Linked DNA regions of Macaca mulatta. The main gene of each other region encodes a partner of the protein of the gene in region 3 in a complex. Links are inferred from orthologs where the notes say so. Each region holds a gene or a part of one and is shown on either strand. Other genes may lie near its edges. The genes, in order: HNRNPH2, SRSF1, DDX5 and PA2G4.

The links.
Region 1: DDX5 (region 3) and HNRNPH2 share a complex: the UniProt entries of both Homo sapiens proteins name them as parts of the ribonucleoprotein complex. The link is inferred for Macaca mulatta from reciprocal best matches to the Homo sapiens genes DDX5 and HNRNPH2.
Region 2: DDX5 (region 3) and SRSF1 share a complex: the UniProt entries of both Homo sapiens proteins name them as parts of the ribonucleoprotein complex. The link is inferred for Macaca mulatta from reciprocal best matches to the Homo sapiens genes DDX5 and SRSF1.
Region 4: DDX5 (region 3) and PA2G4 share a complex: the UniProt entries of both Homo sapiens proteins name them as parts of the ribonucleoprotein complex. The link is inferred for Macaca mulatta from reciprocal best matches to the Homo sapiens genes DDX5 and PA2G4.

The regions. Positions count from the first base shown.
Region 1 is NC_133426.1:108,302,297-108,305,985, forward strand, and holds the end of HNRNPH2 (heterogeneous nuclear ribonucleoprotein H2), read left to right. Parts: intron 1-934; exon of another isoform or gene 935-955; 5' UTR 956-1,008; coding exon 1,009-2,358; 3' UTR 2,359-3,175; downstream 3,176-3,689. UniProt on the Homo sapiens protein: This protein is a component of the heterogeneous nuclear ribonucleoprotein (hnRNP) complexes which provide the substrate for the processing events that pre-mRNAs undergo before becoming functional, translatable mRNAs in the cytoplasm. Binds poly(RG).
Region 2 is NC_133421.1:51,982,156-51,986,410, forward strand, and holds the start of SRSF1 (serine/arginine-rich splicing factor 1), read left to right. Parts: upstream 1-1,405; 5' UTR 1,406-1,608; coding exon 1,609-1,802; intron 1,803-2,210; coding exon 2,211-2,395; intron 2,396-2,762; coding exon 2,763-2,935; intron 2,936-3,118; exon of another isoform or gene 3,119-3,135; coding exon 3,136-3,330; 3' UTR 3,331-3,695; coding exon of another isoform or gene 3,696-3,734; 3' UTR 3,735-4,255. UniProt on the Homo sapiens protein: Plays a role in preventing exon skipping, ensuring the accuracy of splicing and regulating alternative splicing.
Region 3 is NC_133421.1:74,403,383-74,407,533, reverse strand, and holds the start of DDX5 (probable ATP-dependent RNA helicase DDX5), read left to right. Parts: upstream 1-1,304; 5' UTR 1,305-1,534; coding exon 1,535-1,578; intron 1,579-1,600; exon of another isoform or gene 1,601-1,863; coding exon of another isoform or gene 1,864-1,907; intron 1,908-2,780; coding exon 2,781-2,946; intron 2,947-3,302; coding exon 3,303-3,399; intron 3,400-3,507; coding exon 3,508-3,641; intron 3,642-3,752; coding exon 3,753-3,818; intron 3,819-4,054; coding exon 4,055-4,151. Other genes in the region: CEP95 (centrosomal protein of 95 kDa), read right to left, coding at 513-531. UniProt on the Homo sapiens protein: Involved in the alternative regulation of pre-mRNA splicing; its RNA helicase activity is necessary for increasing tau exon 10 inclusion and occurs in a RBM4-dependent manner. Binds to the tau pre-mRNA in the stem-loop region downstream of exon 10.
Region 4 is NC_133416.1:63,253,394-63,257,467, forward strand, and holds the start of PA2G4 (proliferation-associated protein 2G4), read left to right. Parts: upstream 1-1,216; 5' UTR 1,217-1,412; coding exon 1,413-1,500; intron 1,501-3,249; coding exon 3,250-3,378; intron 3,379-3,657; coding exon 3,658-3,763; intron 3,764-3,856; coding exon 3,857-3,926; intron 3,927-4,074. UniProt on the Homo sapiens protein: May play a role in a ERBB3-regulated signal transduction pathway. Seems be involved in growth regulation. Acts a corepressor of the androgen receptor (AR) and is regulated by the ERBB3 ligand neuregulin-1/heregulin (HRG).

The DNA.
Region 1 (3,689 bases), on a different chromosome or scaffold from region 3:
GCAAGTATAATGTATATTTGCATTTACATCTTTAATAATGATATTTGGTGCTCCTGTAGGATCATAAGCCCTTTCTGGGCTTATTGATTCTTGTATGCCAGAGCTGAGTATTGGACATGGCAACTAAAAAATATTTCTAAAATGAATGTGTGAATTCCCAATAATGTCTTTTTTTCATTTATCTCTGAAGCCCAAATATTTCCCTGATTTTATTGATTTGCATACATTTGTATATAAGGAGATTATATAAAGAACGTATATAACCTGTGTTTTGTTTGTGTTTTAATGTTTTAATTGTTGTTTAATCTTTTGATCTAGTGAAGTTTTTTATGTGTGTATATTCAGATATAGCTATCTTTTATTTGTTGACCTATCCCACTGATTTGTTGATGTTATTTTATTTATTTATTTATTTTTTGAGACTTAGTTTCGCTCTGGTGGCCCATGCTGGAGTGCAGTGGCGTGATCTCGGCTCACCTCCACCTCCTGGGTACATAAAAGTGGTTTTCCTGCCTCAGCCTCCCAAGTAGCTGGGATTACAGGCGCCTGCCACCACGCCCAGCCAATTTTTTGTATTTTTAGTAGAGACAGGGTTTCACCATGTTGGCCAGGCTGGTCTCTGACCTCTAGGTGGTACACCCGCCTGACCTCAGGTGGTACTACTGACCTCAGGTGGTACACCCGCCTCAGCCTCCCAAAGTGCTGGGATTACAGGCGTGAGCCACCACACCCGGCCGATTGCTATTAATTTTTAATGGTATCCAACATGTAATAGGCATTGAATAAATAACTTAAAAAATGAATGAGTTAAAAATTTGGTGAACTCTTTGTTTATACAGACATCTTACAGAAAAGCTGTCAGCATAGTTGAATTTTCTATTAATAGTTTGCTTTTTTATCTTACTATATCACGGGCATTTTTCCATGACAGTAGTCTTCTAATTTTTTTTTTCAGCTACACTAAAATTGCATTGAGCCAAACTTGCCACCAAGAGCCCAACAGTCACCATGATGCTGAGCACGGAAGGCAGGGAGGGGTTCGTGGTGAAGGTCAGGGGCCTACCCTGGTCCTGCTCAGCCGATGAAGTGATGCGCTTCTTCTCTGATTGCAAGATCCAAAATGGCACATCAGGTATTCGTTTCATCTACACCAGAGAAGGCAGACCAAGTGGTGAAGCATTTGTTGAACTTGAATCTGAAGAGGAAGTGAAATTGGCTTTGAAGAAGGACAGAGAAACCATGGGACACAGATACGTTGAAGTATTCAAGTCTAACAGTGTTGAAATGGATTGGGTGTTGAAGCATACAGGTCCGAATAGCCCTGATACTGCCAACGATGGCTTCGTCCGGCTTAGAGGACTCCCATTTGGCTGTAGCAAGGAAGAGATTGTTCAGTTCTTTTCAGGGTTGGAAATTGTGCCAAATGGGATGACACTGCCAGTGGACTTTCAGGGGCGAAGCACAGGGGAAGCCTTTGTGCAGTTTGCTTCGCAGGAGATAGCTGAGAAGGCCTTAAAGAAACACAAGGAAAGAATAGGGCACAGGTACATTGAGATCTTCAAGAGTAGCCGAGCTGAAGTTCGAACCCACTATGATCCCCCTCGAAAGCTCATGGCTATGCAGCGGCCAGGTCCCTATGATAGGCCGGGGGCTGGCAGAGGGTATAATAGCATTGGCAGAGGAGCTGGGTTTGAAAGGATGAGGCGTGGTGCCTACGGTGGAGGGTATGGAGGCTATGATGACTATGGTGGCTATAATGATGGATATGGCTTTGGGTCTGATAGATTTGGAAGAGACCTCAATTACTGTTTTTCAGGAATGTCTGATCATAGATATGGAGATGGTGGGTCCAGTTTCCAGAGCACCACAGGGCACTGTGTACACATGAGGGGGTTACCTTACAGAGCCACTGAGAATGATATTTATAATTTCTTCTCACCTCTTAATCCCATGAGAGTACATATTGAAATTGGACCCGATGGCAGAGTTACTGGTGAGGCAGATGTTGAATTTGCTACTCATGAAGATGCTGTGGCAGCTATGGCAAAAGACAAAGCTAATATGCAACATAGATATGTGGAGCTCTTCTTAAATTCTACTGCAGGAACAAGTGGGGGTGCTTACGATCACAGCTATGTAGAACTTTTTTTGAATTCTACAGCAGGGGCAAGTGGTGGGGCTTATGGTAGCCAAATGATGGGAGGGATGGGCTTATCCAACCAGTCTAGTTATGGAGGTCCTGCTAGCCAGCAGCTGAGTGGTGGTTATGGAGGTGGTTATGGTGGTCAGAGCAGTATGAGTGGATATGACCAAGTTCTGCAGGAAAATTCCAGTGACTATCAGTCAAACCTTGCTTAGGTAGAGAAGGAGCACCAAACAGCTACTCCATATATAAAAGCTGTACATTTGTGGGAGTTGAATAGAATGGGAGGGATGTCTAGTATATCCAGTATGATTGGTAAATGGGAAATATAATTGATTCTGATCACTCTTGGTCAGCTTCTCTTTCTTTATCTTTCTTTCTCCTTTTTTAAGAAAACAAGAGTTAAGTTTAACAGTTTTGCATTACAGGCTTGTGATTCATGCTTACTGTAAAGTGGAAGTTGAGATTATTTTAAAACTTCAAGCTCAGTAATTTTGAACACTGAAACATTCATCTAGGACATAATAACAAAGTTCAGTATTGACCATAACTGTTAAAACAATTTTTAGCTTTCCTCAAGTTAGTTATGTTGTAGGAGTGTACCTAAGCAGTAAGCGTATTTAGGTTAATGCAGTTTCACTTATGTTAAATGTTGCTCTTATACCACAAATACATTGAAAACTTCGGATGCATGTTGAGAAACATGCTTTTCTGTAAAACTCAAATATAGGAGCTGTGTCTACGATTCAAAGTGAAAACATTTGGCATGTTTGTTAATTCTAGCTTTTTGGTTTAATATCCTGTAAGGCACGTGAGTGTACACTTTTTTTTTTTTTTTTTTTTTTTTTTTGAAGGATACGGGACAATTTTAAGATGTAATACCAATACTTTAGAAGTTTGGTCGTGTTGTTTGTATGAAATTCTGAGGCTTTGGTTTAAATCTTTCCTTGTATTGTGATTTCCATTTAGATGTATTGTACTAAGTGAAACTTGTTAAATAAATCTTCCTTTTAAAAACTGGAAAAAATCTTGTGCTGATTGATTTTTATTATGTTCTGTCATATGGGCACGCTGATTGACTTTATAATTCCCTCAAAATTAAAATTTTTAATTTTAAAATTATAAACAATATATTTAGCATCTTTATATGTTCATTGTTGCATATATCATTAATTATTTCTAAGATATATCCCTAGAAATGGGATTGCTGAGTCAAAGATACACTCATTTTTAAGGCTTCTGATTTGTGTTACCAGCAAGATTCTGGTACTTTATCTTTTTACCTGGAGTGTGTGCTTTATTTTCCCCCTTATGCCCTCCTTATTGATGCACATTATTCTTTGTGATCTTTGCCAGTCTGTTAGTTGAGAAATGATATCTCATTGCAATTTTAATTTGTATTTTTTTGATTAATATTAAAGTTGAACATTTTCTTCTTTTTTAAAAAAACTTACCATGTCTACAGGACTATTGAGCTACTTTTGGAGCCACTTACCAAGATAGTATTCTCTAAAATCCAAAGAAGTGAAAGCGAATAAATAATCCT
Region 2 (4,255 bases), about 22 Mb from region 3:
TCGCAAATTTATGACTGCAGGATTTGATTTTGTTGTTGTTTCCCCCTCCTTTTTTTTTTTTTTTTTTTTTTTTTTTTTTTAGGAGGAGTCTTACTCTGTAGCCCAGGCTGCAGCGCAATGGCGCGATCTCGGCTCACTGCAACCTCCACCTCCAGGGTTCTAGCGATTCTCCTGCCTCAGCCTCCCGAGTAGGCTGGATTACAGGCGCCCGCCACCAAGCCCGGCTAATTTTTTTTTTTTCAGTAGAGACGGGATTTCACCATGTTGGCCAGGCTGGTCTCGAACTCCTGACCTCAAGTGATCTGCCGCCTCTACCTCCCAAAGTGCTGGCGTGAGCCACCGCGCCCAGCCTAATTTTAATTTGAATTCATTAGCGACGTTTAAAAATCCCAGGATTTCACATAAAAATCCAGATTGCAGACGTCGAAAAAAAATGTAAAATGTTATCTCCCAATGTCGCAGGCAAATAAGATCACAGTCCTGAATAGCAACCGCGGTCTCTAGTGGACACGGCTCTCATCCATTTCGGTCCATTTTATTACCTGGGAGGACCGGTATTTTCAATTTCAGTAACTTTTAGAGGAAACTTTTGAAAAAAGGACTGCACACACGCACCTTTTCTTCCTTCTCGTTCTTTAAAAGGAAACAACAGAAACAATTCATTCTGCAGGCAATCTGCGCTAGTCCCACGGATAGGCGATTAACAAGAGATAAAGAGGTGTGGGTACCAGAAGCAGTACTGTTACCCCTTCTGGTTGGCGGGTACCACGTTGAAAGGTCGGGGTACGGGCCCACTGCGACTAGCACAAAGAGTGCTGAACTGAGCTATGCAAAGTTCTGACGAGAAGGTGGAATGGTTCTTAATGAAAAGGATTAAGGAATCTAAACCGGTTTCGCTAAATTAGACACATCTGTCTAAGCAGCCACAGCTTGTTCGCAGCAGGGGCGGGAAGACAAACCAACGCCCCAGCTCTCTATTCAGTCACCGGCAACTCAGCTCTGGACTAGACGCACTCTACGAAGATACCCGGGTTTCCGGAGCAACGGCCCGAGCCCTCCCCCTTTAGCCCCGCCTCCGAGTCTCTTTCCCGCCAAAGGCCGTTATCGCCGCAGAGCATGGTGGGACAAGGCTTTAGGCTAGGTTTCACCAAGTCCTTTGAAGGCGCCGAGTTGCTTTCAAAGCTCCTCATTCCTGGGGAAATTGACTATCCTTCAAGACTCGACCTGGATGACTAGCTCCTTTAACGAGAGTTCTTTATTTAACTTTTACCAAACGGCTGCTCACTCTATTCGCAAACCACCCCAAGCGGGGAACGCGGGGGACTTTTTTTCCCCCTTCGTGCGGAGGGTGACGTCGCGCGTGCGTGCGCGTGCGTTGCGCGTATCCCTCGCAGCACCCGTTGCGCTCCCGCGCGTGCGTGTTGGGATCGAATCGCTGTTTCCTTCCGCTTCTCTTCCTCTGTCTCCCCCCCATATCCGTGCGCCGAGCTGATAAAGGCGCCATTTTGGAGGGGCCGCGGGAGACGTGGTGCCGCTGCGGGCTCGCTCTGCGGTGCGCTAGGCTTGGTGGGAAGGCCTGTTCTCGAGTCCGCGCTTTTCGTCACCGCCATGTCGGGAGGTGGTGTGATTCGTGGCCCCGCAGGGAACAACGATTGCCGCATCTACGTGGGTAACTTACCTCCAGACATCCGAACCAAGGACATTGAGGACGTGTTCTACAAATACGGCGCTATCCGCGACATCGACCTCAAGAATCGCCGCGGGGGACCGCCCTTCGCCTTCGTTGAGTTCGAGGACCCGCGGTGAGGCGGCATGGGGCTTGCAGCCTTGAGGAAATAGGTCCGAGTAGTCGGGGAAGGCTCCAAGGCCTTAACATAGAGAACGGGGAAGCGGGGGCTCTTAGAGAGGTTGGGGCGAGACTGTATCGCCCATGCAGGAGTCGAGTAAGGAGCTGAGTTGGTGTGGCTTCTCTGGCGCCTCGCCTTGGACGTCCCCGGAGCCCATTCGCAGGCTGGAGCGGGAAACTGAGGCGCTGAGGGCTGGTGTAGTGGTTGGGAGCCTGGCGTGTTTCTGGGTGGGGGAGGGGCCATTCCTATTATGCGGCGCATGTGGGCTCTTCCACGTTGGGTGCGCATGTGCGGGGGGTTCCCGACTGAGCGAGCTTCTCCTCCTGGTCTTTCTCATGCCTTTTACTTTCTGCGATCCCGCAGAGACGCGGAAGACGCGGTGTATGGTCGCGACGGCTATGATTACGATGGGTACCGTCTGCGGGTGGAGTTTCCTCGAAGCGGCCGTGGAACAGGCCGAGGCGGCGGCGGGGGTGGAGGTGGCGGAGCTCCCCGAGGTCGCTATGGCCCCCCATCCAGGCGGTCTGAAAACAGAGTGGTTGTCTCTGGTGAGTGTACTTGGTTGTGTGGATTGATGTGAAGGGACGGAAGCTACCTAAAATTTTTGTCTTGCATGATCGGTTTAACAATTGCAAATTTTTCATGCTAGGTCTTAAATTGCTTTAGTTTTTGGGTGAATTTAATAAACGAGGATTGCTGCTGTGGTGATTTACCAAATTAGGTTGCGGTACTAGATACGAAGATCCGTTACAAATAATTTTGGACTCTGGATCCCAGAATCTTACCAGCTCTTTACCTGGTATCACTTAAGTACACCTATTAAGTATTTTAAAGTACTCTTTGTTCTAATGTACCTTACCAGCTTAACGTGAAATTTAAGATAATTGATACTAAGAAAAAAAATCACTTTTTCAGGACTGCCTCCAAGTGGAAGTTGGCAGGATTTAAAGGATCACATGCGTGAAGCAGGTGATGTATGTTATGCTGATGTTTACCGAGATGGCACTGGTGTCGTGGAGTTTGTACGGAAAGAAGATATGACCTATGCAGTTCGAAAACTGGATAACACTAAGTTTAGATCTCATGAGGTAGGTTATACGCTTATTCTTTTCTTTGACCAGAATTGGATACAGTGGTCTTAACAGTGGAATTTGAAGGTAAGAATTCAGGCAAGGGTGTCCAAGTAAATTGCCAGATTTCTGGTTGTAGTTGCATTGTATGCATTCAGCATGCCTGAAGATAGATGAAAGCTTAGATCTTTCAATGGAAAGTTCTGTCTATCCAATAGGGAGAAACTGCCTACATCCGGGTTAAAGTTGATGGGCCCAGAAGTCCAAGTTATGGAAGATCTCGATCTCGAAGCCGTAGTCGTAGCAGAAGCCGTAGCAGAAGCAACAGCAGGAGTCGCAGTTACTCCCCAAGGAGAAGCAGAGGATCACCACGCTATTCTCCCCGTCATAGCAGATCTCGCTCTCGTACATAAGATGATTGGTGACACTTTTTGTAGAACCCATGTTGTATACAGTTTTCCTTTATTCAGTACAATCTTTTCATTTTTTAATTCAAACTGTTTTGTTCAGAATGGGCTAAAGTGTTGAATTGCATTCTTGTAATATCCCCTTGCTCCTAACATCTACATTCCCCTCGTGTCTTCGATAAATTGTATTTTAAGTGATGTCATAGACAGGATTGTTTAAATTTAGTTAACTCCATACTCTTCAGACTGTGATATTGTGTAAATGTCTATTCTGCCCTGGTTTGTGTGAACTGGGATGTTGGGGGTGTTTGTGGTTATCTTACCTGGGGAAGTTCTTATGTTTATCTTGCTTTTCATGTGTCTTTCTGTAGACATATCTGAAGAGATGGATTAAGAATGCTTTGGATTAAGGATTGTGGAGCACATTTCAATCATTTTAGGATTGTCAAAAGGAGGATTGAGGAGGATCAGATCAATAATGGAGGCAATGGTATGACTCCAAGTGCTATTGTCACAGATGAAATTGGCAGTATTGACCTTATACTAAAAGGCAGGGGTTAAAAATGATTATATACGTTTTCCTTAAAACACTTGCAAACATTTTATTCAGTTATCTTTAGCTACAATTGCTTTGCTCTTTAAACCTTGGCAATTGTGGCAAAATTATATTGCCCATTTTGTAGCAACTTATTTTGCTCCCTTCCCCCCATTTTTGTTTTAATAGGGACTAATGTGGGAAGAACTGGCTAATTTGTCACAGTGCTTAGTTACAACTGTTAATGTGTGACCTGCTGTTGGTGTACATGTGGGTACAGGGTGTCTTTAAATCCAACAAGATAGAGTATAATATCAATACTGCTAAATCTGCATGTCCTCTGTGTGACTGATAGAGCGTTGCTATTTCATTTTTTTAAGACAAAATGAAAGCAAA
Region 3 (4,151 bases):
AGACAACCAAATTAATTCGCTCTTCAAAAGCGGTGCTAGACAAAGCCCATGACTCTAGAGGGCACTGAAGAGAAAAAAGCACCACTATTCTTCTGTGGCAGGGGCATGAATAAACCTTAAGAGTGCCGTTCCTTTAAAGACCACTACAAAAGGAGGTACGACCTCAGGGCCCATAGTGCAAGGGAGGAGGGCACATGGACAGCGGCTAGACGCCCCACAGAAAGACAAGTCCGAGGACGACCCTTCTGACTGCTCTTTTTGCAGCCAGGACCCGAGCGTCCTACCGGCCTCGCCCCAGTGCCTCTCTCCCACCTCATACTGCTGTTCCACGGCCTCAAAGCGAAGAGGGGGTGAAGCTGAGAGACCCTATCCAGAGAACCCGCCACCGCGACGCAGCGTCTGACAGTAACGAGCCCCGCCGACACCCCAGACCCAGTCCGGGCTAGCCCGAGGCCTCCCTGAAGGTGGACAGTTTCAGTAAACACACACCGCGACCCCAGGGAAACACTCACCAGCCTCCGAGCGGGCCATGTCTCGGAAGCAGGTCGCCGCCGGACTCCGACGCTGCCAGACCGGCGACGGTGTCCTGCAAGGACCGAACGCAGAGCAGACGCTGGGGGGCGGGCGCACGAACTAAAGCGCGGGGAAGGAGGCGTGAAAGAGGGAGGGACGTTAAAAGAACTTCTCGCCGCTGATTGGTCATCAGAGGAGCACTTCCTTTCACAGCACGTGCCACGGAAGCGGTTTGGGAAGTTTAGAGACCATTCTCCGCCGGCCAAAACCCGTCACAGGATTGTCAGACCCGTGGGTCGGACGGTCCAAGTTAGCCGGCAGCTGGGGGCGGGTCCCGGGTGCTGGCAGCGCACTTCCGGTGAGCTATTTCGTTATGTATCCCTCCGCCGACGTCAACGGGGAAGTAGTGCGGCCCCCTGTCACGGTGGGCGGTGGGGGGGTAACGTCACGTGACAACGCCAGGCCCCCGCCTTCCCTCTCATTTGGTTACAGGCGTGAGGGCTCTTTGGAGACGTAAACACCTCCGAGTGGGGAGGGTGGGCGGGCTTGGGCTGGCTGTTTTATCGTCTGGCTGGGCTTGGGAAAGGGCAGGGTGGCTTTCTTGAGGTGTGGAAAGACGAGAAGAAGGTGAGGTCAAGAGAGTGGAGAATGAGGCATTTCAATGGTGGGTGGGCCCTGACCTGAGAGAGCGGCACGGGGTGGGGTGAAAGCGCGGCGATCGCGGAACGCCGGCGGGCGTTGCGGCCTCTGCGCGAGGGGCGGGGCGATTAGGTCATAGAGCGGCTCCCAGCGTGCCTTGCGGCGTAGGAGGAGGTCCAGACTATAAAAGCGGCTGCCGGAAAGCGGCCGGCACCTCATTCATTTCCACCGGTCTCTAGGTGTGCAGCTTTGGCTGGTGTCATCGCCGTCACTCCTCCGCTGCCGCCCCCGCAAGGCTTCGCCGTCGCCGAAGCCATTTCCAGCGACTCGTCGCACCCTTTTCTATCTACTTCGTTCCCCGCCAACCGCAACCATTGACGCTATGTCGGGTTATTCGAGTGACCGAGACCGCGGCCGGGATCGAGGGTGAGTGTGGGAGCCGAGTTGTCAGGGCTGGCGGGTGGGGGATGGGAGGGCGGGTCAGGGTGGCGGCGGGCCGGGGCTTTGCGGCTTGGACTCGGCCTTTCCGGGCTATCTTGGGGCCTCCTTTCCCGAAGGCTTGCGCCATTTTGATATTCACGTAACAGTGAGTGGGAGAGATTTGACGGGATAGTGTCTTCATCCTCGCTTTTTGTGTGGGGGTCGGGGAGCCGTCGGGGCGGCTGCCATTTGGTAGCTGTTGAGGGAATTCAGAGGGAGCGCATTGTTCGGATGAAAGCGCGACGCTTCGAGGCAGACGAAGGAACAGCTGTTAGGTGCGGCCTTTCGGGAGGTGTTTTTGGGGTGGTCGGGCATTCTGTGGGAGCGAAGGGACCACCTCCAAAGCCACTGGTGCTGTGGGGGTAGGAGGGCGGCCGGCATCAGCCATGTGGCTGAGTCGCGGGTATAAAATGCCGGCCTTGGACATGGCGGCGGCGCCTTTGTTACTCCGCCCGGCGGAGGAGCTCAAAATGGCAGCGTCGAGAAAATGTGGCGCAGAGAGAAATGCGAGACAAAGGGGGAAGCGCCGCCCCAGCGGGAACGCCGCCCGGCCGGCTCCGCCCGGGCCGGGACTCCTCCCCCGGTAGTCGCCGGCTCCTCCTTTTCTTTTTTCCTGCGTTATATAATTTTAATTCGTTGATCCGGAGCTCTACCGCGGCGTCCCCCCAGCTCGGTTTGCTAGCAGAAGTGTTTCTAAACCGTTGTTTCGTTTTCGTTGTCTGTGCTGTCTAGATTGTTGACATCAAAGCTCTTTGGCTTGAAAACGGCCATATGAGTAACATCGTTGTGATGCTCTTCGGTTCATGTAGGCTTGTTATCACTGATAATGAATTGCTAGACTGGTGAGAAAGATAATAGTAACCACAAGAAGTGGTGTGTAATACTAAATTCTGGCATCTGGGTGACAAGTTTTCGATATAGTAAATCCCAGGCTGTTTACGTGGCCTAAGTTGTGTGTACTTGGGACTACGGGAAACGTTAACTGTGGCTGTTGAGAGAGAGATTATCACTAAGGACAGTGCTAGGTTTACCTCTCGAAGTCGGCTTTCAGTGATCTTTAGCTTGTGCCAAGGGATGGTAAACAAATCTGTCCAGAAACCTAGGTGTAGCCATTTGAAAATGTAAATAACTTTTTTTCTTCATTCCAGGTTTGGTGCACCTCGATTTGGAGGAAGTAGGGCGGGGCCCTTATCTGGAAAGAAGTTTGGAAACCCTGGGGAGAAACTAGTTAAAAAGAAGTGGAATCTTGATGAGCTGCCCAAGTTTGAGAAGAATTTCTATCAAGAGCACCCTGATTTGGCTAGGCGGACAGCAGTGAGTAAATTCATGTGGCTTCATCAGGCTGTAACTCAATGGAGTCTAGTAAATGAAATTCTGACAGGTGTTTTGCAAATAACTCAATTTTGGTAGAGTTACGTTTTCTGACTTCGTAATTGGGAAAGGTGTGACTCACTTTTGCAAATAGGTGGCTTTGGGAATTTTTTTTTTTTAGATTGAGTATAGCAGAATAAACGGTTTTTTTGTCATATAGGGTTTTCATACGCGGTTCCAGATTAAAATGAAGCTACTTTAAACTAGTTACTAAATTATGAAGTTACGGGCTTGCCAATTACGTATTTAGTTAGGGGTGGTTGTCATGAGCTTTAAGACTGTTATAATTTGTTTTGCAGCAAGAGGTGGAAACATACAGAAGAAGCAAGGAAATTACAGTTAGAGGTCACAACTGCCCGAAGCCAGTTCTAAATTTTTATGAAGCTAATTTCCCTGGTGAGTGCTACTTTTCAGTTCTACCCTACCCCTGTGTTTTTGTTTTCACCTACCTCCTCCTTTCCTTGGCATCACTAATTTTTGTTAAATATCTGTCACTAATTATAGCAAATGTCATGGATGTTATTGCAAGACAGAATTTCACTGAACCCACTGCTATTCAAGCTCAGGGATGGCCAGTTGCTCTAAGTGGATTGGATATGGTTGGAGTGGCACAGACTGGATCTGGGAAAACATTGTCTGTAAGTTTGAGAGAACTCTTGATGTAATATGTGCAAGAAAACGGAATGCTAATTTAAAAACAAGAGTATTTTAATGTGATTTCTGTTTGTCCCCGTCTTCACCCCAAATAGTATTTGCTTCCTGCCATTGTCCACATCAATCATCAGCCATTCCTAGAGAGAGGCGATGGGCCCATTGTAAGTATATATTTTTAACTTTTTATTAGAAGTGTAATATATAGATTTTTAGACTACATAGCAAAAGATGTAATTATTTGTGGTGGTTTTATACAGAGGTTAGCTCACCCTATTCAGCTGGAGTTGCTTTGGGTATTGGACAACACATGAAGAAAGGATCTGCCATCATAACTAATAAGTTAATAGTTTAAAACTAGTATCCAGGTTTGTGCTGAAAGCTGTTTCTCTTTCCTTAGTGTTTGGTGCTGGCACCAACTCGGGAACTGGCCCAACAGGTGCAGCAAGTAGCTGCTGAATATTGTAGAGCATGTCGCTTGAAGTCTACTTGTATCT
Region 4 (4,074 bases), on a different chromosome or scaffold from region 3:
TTTTAGAAGCCCTTCTCATCTAGCAGTGAGAAGCTTCCAGGTAGGACAGAAAGAAGATCCAGCTTCAGCTTCACACCTCTGTCCCCTTGGATGGGGAACTGAGGGAAAATGTCTGTTGTATCACTGAAGTTTTTTGTTTTGTTTTTATACATGTCTGAATAAAAATGCCAAAGTTTTTTTCAGCTTCCTGTCTGTCAAGTGAAAACATTTCGTATAAGAGATCTGCTCCTCAGCAGTGGATAGTCACCTTTCTGTCTTCTGACAGTGCTACTCTGTCCCATGTAGATTTCTCTAGTCCTACTATTACTTGGTATTTCTTTAGAACAAGCATAGCGCATAGTCCTTTTCATTAAGGGTTTTAGTAGAAATCTACAAGGCAACCAATTGGGAATAACAAAAAGAACCCACGTGCTTGAAGATTTATAAAAAGCCCTATACGTGTCCAGTCTCCTTCAGAGGCCAAATACTGAAACCTCCAGATGCTTCTGAATTCATTATCTTAGAAAAGTCACCAAATCTTTTTATTTTTTCACGGTAAGAACTCTCAACAAACATGTCTTTCTGAACACTTCCCTTAGGTGCCCCATCCAGGTGCCTGTTATTGGAACAATAATGTCATGTTACTTCATTAGGAGTCCGGCCTCTAGATTACGAGGCCTTTAAATGGATGATCCCTCCGGTGTCCGGCTGCGCAGCTGGCCCCCGTTCCCAGCACCCTTGGTCTTCTTCCACCTGTCTGCCCCTCCCTGTTCTCCCAGCTTCGGAGGACGACTGAACCGGCTGGGCGGGTTTCGCCAGCCGACCCAAGTATCCGAGGAAGGGCGCACCCAGCCTCCCCGCCCTAGGTGCAGACACTGCCCACCCGCCGCGGCTCCACTCTACTCCACCCCTGCTCGCTCGACTCTAAACCTATTTCCCCGCCGTAGCTCCGCCCCTCTTCCCTCAGCCCGCCCCTCTGTTACTGGCTTTCGCACAGCGTTCTCGGTGGAAGTGGTTTTTCCGGGAGAGACCACGCTTCCCCTCAAGCTCCCCAACGGCTCCGCCTTCCCGCCGGAGCCTGACCCTTCCCAGCGTGCCCGGCGATTCCGGCGTGCGAGGCCCTTGGAGGGCAAGGCCCCAGGGCCTGGCTTAGGAGCGTGAGCGGCAGGCTGGGAATTGTAGTTCGAAAGCCCTCGAGGGCGGCTAAAGGCTGGCGGTGGAGAGGACTAGTTTTCCCAGCGTGCCCTGCGCCTCAGCCCGCGCGCTCACAGCTTCTCGCTCTCGCCTGCCTGCCTGCTCCCTTGCTTGCTCGCGCTTTCGCTCGCCCTCTCCTCGAGGATCGAGGGGACTCTGGCCACAGCCTGTGGCTGGGAAGGGAGACAGAGGCGGCGGCGGCTCAGGGGAAACGAGGCTGCAGTGGTGGTAGTAGGAAGATGTCGGGCGAGGACGAGCAGCAGGAGCAAACTATCGCCGAGGACCTGGTCGTGACCAAGTATAAGATGGGGGGCGACATCGCCAACAGTGAGTGCGACCTCGGGGGTCGGGGAATCAAGGCTGACAGGGAAAGGTGCCAGGCTGGCCCTGAAGGGGCTGGAGCGGAGGGGTCATGCGAACTGAGCTACTGAGGGGCCCGCACCAGTCCGCTGGGGGCGGCGTGGTGGGAAGACCCGGTGTCGCTCCTGGGACCTGAGCGGCCAGGCCCAGGCTGAAGTCTATGGAGGTGCGGGTCGGCGACCGGGATGAGCGGAGAGAGGGTAACCTGGCAGGCTCCGACCCGAGGCCGTTTGTTAGGAGGCAAGACGTGTTTTCTCTTGTTCCTATCCTTCATTCCCGATTTCTGCTTCCTCTGATTCTGGCAACGGCGAGGCCACCTCGAAAAGGAAGCGCCCAGCTATTGGCGACAGAAGCGCCCCTCTGTTTTTGTCGCGTCTGCGGGGCGTCAGGAGCCGAGCCGGCACGTGTTGCTGGGTCCCCTTGCGGATGGCTGGCCCCCTTCTTCCTCCAGTACTGTCCCTGACACCAGCTTCCCCACCACGTGCTTTGCTGGAGCCTTTCCTTCTTCAGCTCTTACCCTGGTGGGGGCCCCCTTCTACCCTTGGGCCAGCTAAGGGGACCGTTGGAGAGCACTCCTGGAGCTTCTAACACAAGTTTTGGAGATATATATGGCTTTTCTTGAAGTTACTCATTATTACTACCTTTCCAATCTGTGCAGATAGCCTTAGTTAGCATTCACATTTGTTGTTCAAAGTGACTTGACAACTCAAATGTTTTGGGGTCTCCGTCTTATCCCAACTAGGCAAGCTTGCGAACATTACTGGAAAAGGGAGGACTGATTTTAGGATTTTCACAAGTCATCCTTATTCCAGCTGTGCTCTGAGGATCTCAGCAGTTGCCTGCCACTCTAGGCGATGTCACTTTCTCTTTTCTCTCTTTCTAGTTAGCCTTTCCATTTTATTTAAAACCCAGTTAGGGAGATACAAACTGCTTGTCATTGTGTTTTTAAATGGTTTTAACAGCAAAGATGGTGGGAAAGAGGTATTTAGGATGCCTCCCATCCTGTGGGTGAAAATCTGAGTTTTACCCGCTTTCAAAGAATCACCAAAACTGAGATTTCAAAACTCAAACCTGTGCTTTATATCACAGTGGACATTTAGTATAGTACCCTGGTTTTGGTGCCTTTTAGTATTTGAGATACTAGGGATTTGAATCAGAAAATCCCTTTCTTACAGTTTATAACTTTGGCCTCATATTTCTTTGAGATAAGCCATGATCCCCCAAAATGAAACCCAGGGACCTTAGATTAAGTCCCCTTGGCTTATACACTTGTTTATGAGGAATTAAGTCTACATAGATTGAGATTCCTAACACCTAATTAGAGTGTCTGAGAAAGGAAGGCGGTAACATTTAACAGTGCTTCAGCTTCGAGTCAGCAATTCTGTCTACATTCCTGTCCCTGATGCCTATAAATTTCATCTAGTCTTTCCATGTATGTGGGGATACCATGGCAAGAACTCTCTGAAGTTCATAACTCTGTCCTGTCACACCAAAGGTAGCATCTTTGGAAAGTCCGAGGCCTTGCCTAAGGAGATGGATTGCATATACCCAGTTGTCACATAATGTAAGGAAGAGAAGGGAATGTTGACCTTTCAGCCTCAGGGCAATGGCACTAGGGAGCATTAGAAACTCTTAAGTTCAACTTCCAGGTATTCCTTGGGAGGTAACTAGACAATGAATACATACAAGGCTGACATGATGGGATTCTGTCCTCAGGGGTACTTCGGTCCTTGGTGGAAGCATCTAGCTCGGGTGTGTCGGTACTGAGCCTGTGTGAGAAAGGTGATGCCATGATTATGGAAGAAACAGGGAAAATCTTCAAGAAAGAAAAGGAAATGAAGAAAGGTAAAAAAAAAAAAAAAAAATCCCTCACTAATTTCCTGTTTGACCCTTATTTGGTCCTATATGTTTTTATTTTTTTCACTGTAATGATGCAGTCCCCACCCTGGCTCTGGCTGAGATATTTGGAAATTTGGAATGACAAGTGGGATATAAGCAGTTTCCTACCTAATACAAACTGATGAAACTTAAGCAAGACCCTGAAAAAATCCTTCCACTCTTCTGAAGGGCACTAGGGCTTCTGGGAGACAGCAAGGCAGTAGGCTGATGATTTTTTCTTTACAGGTATTGCTTTTCCCACCAGCATTTCGGTAAATAACTGTGTATGTCACTTCTCCCCTTTGAAGAGCGACCAGGATTATATTCTCAAGGAAGGTGACTTGGTAAAAATGTAAGGTTAAACCGTTTTAAAGCATTTTTCTTTTTTTAAAGCATTTACAAAATGCCGGTTCCTAATGCAGTACACTCTGATCTTGCCTTTCAGTGACCTTGGGGTCCATGTGGATGGCTTCATCGCTAATGTAGCACATACTTTTGTGGTTGGTGTAGCTCAGGTAGGTGGCCTGCTTTTGATCTCTGTTCAGCCTTGGGGGTGTAGGGAATGCACCGCTATTTCCTTCTTATTCCCACCCCCAATCACCACGCAGGTCAAGAGAGTGTCTAGAGAAGCAAAAGGAGGAAGGCTTTTTGTTGTTGTTGTTG